Oryctolagus cuniculus: one gene and its partner. The protein of the gene in region 2 interacts with the protein of the main gene of each other region in a pairwise test. Links are inferred from orthologs where the notes say so. Each region holds a gene or a part of one and is shown on either strand. Other genes may lie near its edges. The genes, in order: CKAP5 and TACC1.

Region 1 (2,901 bases), on a different chromosome or scaffold from region 2:
CAGGCCCGTGAGATAAGATACTAGGAGGAAAAACTGCCTTGTGACAAACAGGAAAGTGACGTTTACATCTTTATCGTAACGATGAGAATACTGTGCAGCAGTGAAACACGAAGAACGTCACAGCCAACAGAGAGTGAATACGCCAGGGCAGGAAACCAAGCACACGTGTGTCGCAAATGCACTGTTTGTCCAAAAATATCAAATGTTGGACATCACTAGAAAGGACTCGGCAGACGTGAAAAGGAGGCCTTTCCCCAATCACCCAAACTATGGTCTGTGCAATCGTGGAATGTTACTGGACATTCTGCTCACCACACTTCAAGACAGACTCTCAAGGTCTTGGGGAGGGGTCATCTGAGGTGTGAAATGTAAAAGTCTAACTGGTTAAGAGAAACAGCTGAAGCTTCAGCCTAGCAAGATACATGCAGTGAGAGACCATGACTGGAGTCTGGGACTCACAAAGGAACACGGTTCCATAGGCAGACACACACTTCAAGGCAAGAGTAGGTGTGCGTCCCTCAACTTGGACATAACCCCACGTGGGACAGTGCTGAGAGCTCTATTCTGTCCTGACGAGGGAACTGAGGAAGCTGGGTGTATCTTCTTGGCTTCAGGCTCACAACAGCTTTCTTCTATGACTGAAACCTCCTAAATCTTTCTTAGGATTCCAGATCCTGTGGGTAGTAAATCTCAGACAGTAGCTAGTTCACTGTGAGGACAGCAACATTTCAACTTCAACTTGGAGTAAGCATTCATTCATGTCATTTACAAATACTGAATACCTGTTATGTTCCAGGCAACAAACCAGACAAAAATCCTTTTGCTTTGTGCACGTGCAGACACACACCCACATACACATACACATACACATACACAGGCAGGGAGAGACACACTGAATAATTAACCTGGCCAGTGCCACATTGGATGGTATGTCAGAGGTGGCACATATTGCAGCAGGGTGAGGAGTATATCAGAGGTTTTAAATAAGATCTCATTGGAATGGTAAAGGAACAAGGATCTGAAAAGGAAAGGGGGCTGACTAACATGAGTGTTTTAGGAGAGTATTCTACATGTAAGAAACGGCCAGGACTGGAACCCAAGGAGCCTGTGTGTTCCAGAAACAGCAAGGGGGCTGGTGGCTGGCTTGGATGGAAGACCAGCTGGGGAGGGCATTAGGAGAGAGCTCCCAGAGTGTCAGGGCCATGCAATGCAGGACCTTTGTAAGGGCTTTTGCTGGGCACAAGTGAGTGTCTCTGGGGAATGGTGAAGTGTCATTCTGATACTAGGCATGGAGAAGAAATAGAGGTAAGGGCGAAGGCAGAGAGATCAGAGAGGAGAGGTGCTGTCATCCAGGTAAGAGATAACGATGCCCTGGAGCAAGGAGGTAGCAGGGAAAAGTGAGGACAGGGTACAGGGTAGTGGAGGTGGTGGTGATGTGGATCTGCATACAATCTGCAGGTATAGCCTAAAGGATTTCCTGAAGGAGAGGAAAAGAAGACTCAAAAGCTTTGGATCTGAGCAACTAGAAGGACAAACTGCCTTCCACCAAACAGGAAAAGAACACAAATGCACAGGCTTAGGGGATATCAGGAGCCTAGTTTTCAACATGCTGAGTTCAGGAATGAAGCTGATGAGCCCATTCCTGGAGCTGCTAAGGGAACCCATACCTGTTGAAGTGGGAATTCGGCCTTTGCCCTCCCTTTCCATCTCAATCACCCTGAGGCCTCTTTCAACATAGCTCTGGAAGAACTGTGAGGAGTTTTTCAGAAATGGTTCGATGTCGGCGTCTGAGTATTTCTTCTTATATTCATATAACTCTGCTAGGCCCTGGTGAACAAGAAAAAGGAAAAGGTGTGGGTAGATGCCAGTGCCCCCTTTTCATAAAGGAGACCCTCACTGAGGTTAGCCTTTTTATTCTCACCTCTTTAGTATTCTCTTTAGAGCCAATCTTCTTAAAAATCTCAGCTAAGAAATCATTCACTTTGGCCTTCGATGATTTTTCATCCTGAAAAATTAGAAGACACAAGGAAGAACTGGTTAGAGTTGTTAATAGGAACCAATGGCTAGATGGGAACAGGAAAAAATCTCTCAAGGTCTGGACCTTCCCGGTGTGTCTCTGTGGACAGCAGAAGCATCAACACTCTAGCACCTAAAGCAAAAAGTACAACACTGGCGCTCTGGTTACTGAATGCTTCCGCCTCAGGTTTTCTTTTTTTTTTTTTTTTTTTTTGACAGGCAGAGTGGACAGTGAGAGAGAGACAGAGAGAGAAAGGTCTTCCTTTGCCGCTGGTTCACCCTCCAATGGCCGCCGCTGCAGCCGGCGCACCGCGCTGATCCTGGCAGGAGCCAGGAGCCAGGTGCTTTTCCTGGTCTCCCATGGGGTGCAGGGCCCAAGCACCTGGGCCATCCTCCACTGCACTCCCTGGCCATAGCAGAGAGCTGGCCTGGAAGAGGGGCAACTGGGACAGAATCCGGCGCCCCAACCGGGACTAGAACCCGGTGTGCCGGCGCCGCAAGGTGGAGGATTAGCCTATTGAGCCACGGCGCCGGCTCCGCCTCAGGTTTTCACCTCAACTTGATGAAGGAGGAATTGGCCCATTCTCCTGAATTAAGCAAAGTTCACAGTGGATTTATCTGCTCACCAATGCCTTAGGCACAGACACAGAGATCTTTCTTGGAGGTCAAAATGCGCACAGATGTAACTCACATTGCAAAACTTCAAGATGGAAACGGTTACAGCACCACAGCATTAACCACTTCCTGGACCCTCCCCACAGGCCCTCAGAAGCCTCCAGGTGACCCGCACTTAGGCAAGATCACTTCCAGCACAGCCTCATTCCCTCCATCTTTCAAGTGAGGCCACTCACTATTCGAGATGCTCCCTTTTCTGTTTCCTTATCA
Region 2 (3,820 bases):
CAGACAGAGAAAGGTCTTTCTTAGGTGGTTCACTCCCCAAATGGCAGCAGCTGTGCCAATCTGAAGCCAGGAGCCAGGAGCTTCTTCTAGATCTCCCATGTGGGTGCAGGGGTCCAAGCACTTGGGTCATCTTCCACTGCTTTCTCAGACCATAGCAGATAGCTGGATCAGAAGAGGAGCAGCCAGGACTAGAACCAGTGCCCATATGGGATGCTGGTGCTGCAGGAGGAGGATTAACCTACTTCACCACAGTGCCAGCCCCAAAATAAATAAATCTTTAAAAGAAAGCAAAACAAGCCGGTGCCGCGGCTCACTAGGCTAATCCTCCGCCTTGCAGCGCCGGCACACCGGGTTCTAGTCCTGGTCGAGGCGCCGGATTCTGTTCCTGTTGCCCCTCTTCCAGGCCAGCTCTCTGCTGTGGCCAGGGAGTGCAGTGGAGGATGGCCCAAGTGCTTGGGCCCTGCACCCCATGGGAGACCAGGAGAAGCACCTGGCTCCTGCCATCAGATCAGTGCGGTATGCCAGCCGCAGCGCGCCGGCCGTGGCGGCCATTGGAGGGTGAACCAACAGCAAAGGAAGACCTTTCTCTCTGTCTCTCTCTTTTACTGTCCACTCTGCCTGTCAAAAAATTAAAAAAAAAAAAAAAAAAACAACAAAAAACAAAAAAACCCTAAGCCATTAAAGCACTATTAGAAGGGAAATATGGGAGAGAGATTATTTCCCATCCAGAATGGTGAAGATCTCTGTTCCTATGACAGGAAATACATAAGCTGTAGAAGAAATGCCTGATAAACTTTACTCCACAGAAATAAATTTCTACAGGGCCAGCATCGTGGCATAATGGGTTAAGCCACTGCCTGCAATGCTAACATCCCATGTGGGTACCAGTGCAAATCCCAGCTGCTCCACTTCTTATTCAGCTCCTTGCTAACATGCCTAGGAAAGCAGCAGAGGATGACCCAAGTGCTAGGACCCTGCACTCACATGAGAGACCCAGATGAAGCTCCTGGCCTAGTCGTGGCCATTGCAGCCATTTGGGGTGTGAACCAGTGCATGGAAGATACCTAAATCTGCCTTTCAAATAAATAAATCTTAAATAAAAAAAGAGGAAATTCCTATATACCAAAAGTACCATAGAAAGAGTAAAAAAGGTAAATTAGAAACTGGAAAAATTATTCATAATTCATATCACAAGGGGCTGGTGTCCCTAATACTTAAAATGCATAAATCAACCCAAAAATGTACAATAATAATGTATAGTAAAGCAAATACATGAATTCTGATTGCTGAAATACATTTATGTCTATTTTCCTATTTACAAATTCATATATTCTTTGGCCCAATAGTTGCTTTTCTCTCCTGTATGTCATAAGGATAACTCGCATGCGTGCAAAATGATAATCTACAAGGTTACTTATTGCAGCGTTGTTACAGAAGGAAAAGATTTTAAAGATGTATTTCACGTATTTGAAAGGCAGAGTGACATTTTTTTCCATCTGCTGGTTCACTCTCCAAACGGCCACAATGGCCAGGGCTGGGCTGGGCCAGGCTCAAGTCAGGAGTCTGGAACTCTACCCAGGTCTCTCACATGGGTGGCAGAGCCCAAGCACTTGAGCTATCTGCTGCTTTTCTATGTACATTAGCAGGAACTTGGATTGGAAGCAGAGCAGCTTAACCCTTCCCACCACAACACTGGCCCCAGCAAAAGATTTTAACTAACCTGAATTTCCAACTGAAGGGATTGGTTAAATAAGGATACATTCCAACAACAGAATACCATGAGGCTGTTTAAAAATAAACAAGGAAGCTCTTCATGGATTGATGCATAAAGATTTCTTTTATAAATTTTTTTAAAAGATTTATTTATTTATTTGAAAGTCAGAGTCACACACAAAGGAGAGGCAGAGAGAGGTCTTCCATCCGCTGGTTCACTCCCCATTTGGCCACAACGGCTGGAACTGCACCTATCCGGAGCCAGGAGCTTCTTCCAGGTCTCCCAAGTGGGTGCGGGGGCTTAAGCATTTGGGCCATCTTCTACTGCTTTCCCAGGCCATAGCAGAGAGCTGGATCGGAAGTGGAACAGCTGAGACTCGAACCGGCACCCATATGGGATGCTGGCACTGAAGGTGGTAGCCTTACCAGCTATGCCACAATGCCGGTCCCATAAAGATTTTCAAAACCAGACTGCTTGGAATTGGTGCTGTGGCTTAGTGGGTAAAGCTGCTGCCTGCAGTGCCAGAATCCCATATGGGCGACAGTTCGAGTCCTGGCTGCTCCACTTCCCACCCAGCTCTCTGCTATGGCCTGGGAAAGCAATAGAAGATGATCCAAGTGCTTGGATCCCTGTACCCATATGGGAGACCCAGAAGAAGCTCCTGGCTTTGGATCGGCCCGGCTCTGGCCATTTGGGGAGTGAACCAGTGGATGGAAGACCTCTCTCTGGCCTTTCAAATAAATAAATCTTAAAAAAAAAAAAAAATCAGACTACTGAGCAAAAGCAAGGTATACAACTGTCTGTATAAAGGGGAGAAAAGTACACCCTGGAGGAAAAAACAGAACTGACAGTACCTGGGGTGAGGAAGGAGCTGAAACCTCAGTGGGAGTCAGAGCTGAGAGGGAGACACCATGTGCCTTTTTATGTTTTTCATGTTGTAATCATGTGGAGATGGTTAAAAAAAAAAAAAAAAAAAGAAATAAAACACAAATTCAACCTGAAGTTGCAAAACAGTGAATTTTGCTTCTGTGTCTCTGAACGTCTTCCCACAGCACCATGGGAAATGTCGAATTTATAGGCTCTTACTTGTCTAGCTTCTCTTCCGCATGCATCTTCAAGGCCTGGTAGCGCTGCTCCTCTTGCTTAACTCTGGCTAAGTAATCCTGAGCGCACTTCTTCAAGGCTTCTTCATTCTGTTCCAAGGCGAACATTTAAAATGAGCTGTCTTGTTCTTCTACTAGCAATATACCATGTGTCAGTTTCATTGTTTTAAATGGGAAAACAATTAATTCAGATGCCCTTAATTTATATCCCATGGCAATTTGTAACAGGCACACACAATTCTCACTGAAGAATTCTACATAATTCCTTCAAGTAATAATTTCAACATCACAAAAGTAAGGTTCAATTACACCGACATGCCTACTTAGGAAGGTAGTTATTTAAAACTTAATGGCAATTTCATTCCCAGACAAATTGGCTGGTCTCACTTTTATTTTTAAATGAAAGGGAAGATTTTTCAGTGCTGTAAAATAATATGCATATTTACATCTCTGTTTGAAATGTTACACTTAATTTCTTCTAGAACCTGCAGGTTGAATCTTTCCCATATGGAATCCCTTCTACTTTTGCTAACACTGAAAAAGTGAATTGCCAAAAAGAACGTTGGGTGGAGAGCTCCTGTGCTGTGCTCTGTGTTACACTCCGACCACGTCTGAGGCTTCCACTCGGGACCCGGTAGAGGAATGACCAGGACATGCCACCCAGTGAGTCAGAAGCTGCAAGGCCAGTAGGCCCTGTCCCCCTATTTCAAAGGTCACCCACACTTCTGGCCTATGTTTGGTGATCCCTTACCATAAGAGTACACCACCAGCTAGGGCTGGGAGGACAGGGACACACTACCTTCTTGAAGCCTTCCAAAACGCCTTTCAGGTTCTCATATCGCCTGAAGAGATCAGAAAGGGACCTCTCCACAGAGTTAAGGTCGGCCAGGGCCTGCTCCTTCTCCATGGTCAGCTGCTGGAAGCTCTTCTGGGAGGTCATGCTCGTCCTCTGTTCATCTTCTGGAGAATCACAAGTCAAAAGTGACGGCATGGAAGTTGTCCA

What was found.
Region 1: the proteins of TACC1 (region 2) and CKAP5 interact in binary tests that used the Homo sapiens proteins (3 or more experiments, as listed by UniProt). The link is inferred for Oryctolagus cuniculus from reciprocal best matches to the Homo sapiens genes TACC1 and CKAP5.

The regions. Positions count from the first base shown.
Region 1 is NC_091432.1:19,195,513-19,198,413, reverse strand, and holds part of CKAP5 (cytoskeleton-associated protein 5), read right to left. Parts: coding exon 2,868-2,901; intron 2,006-2,867; coding exon 1,922-2,005; intron 1,828-1,921; coding exon 1,668-1,827; intron 1-1,667. UniProt on the Homo sapiens protein: Binds to the plus end of microtubules and regulates microtubule dynamics and microtubule organization. Acts as a processive microtubule polymerase. Promotes cytoplasmic microtubule nucleation and elongation. Plays a major role in organizing spindle poles.
Region 2 is NC_091433.1:88,578,190-88,582,009, reverse strand, and holds part of TACC1 (transforming acidic coiled-coil-containing protein 1), read right to left. Parts: intron 3,778-3,820; coding exon 3,617-3,777; intron 2,908-3,616; coding exon 2,801-2,907; intron 1-2,800. UniProt on the Homo sapiens protein: Involved in transcription regulation induced by nuclear receptors, including in T3 thyroid hormone and all-trans retinoic acid pathways. Might promote the nuclear localization of the receptors.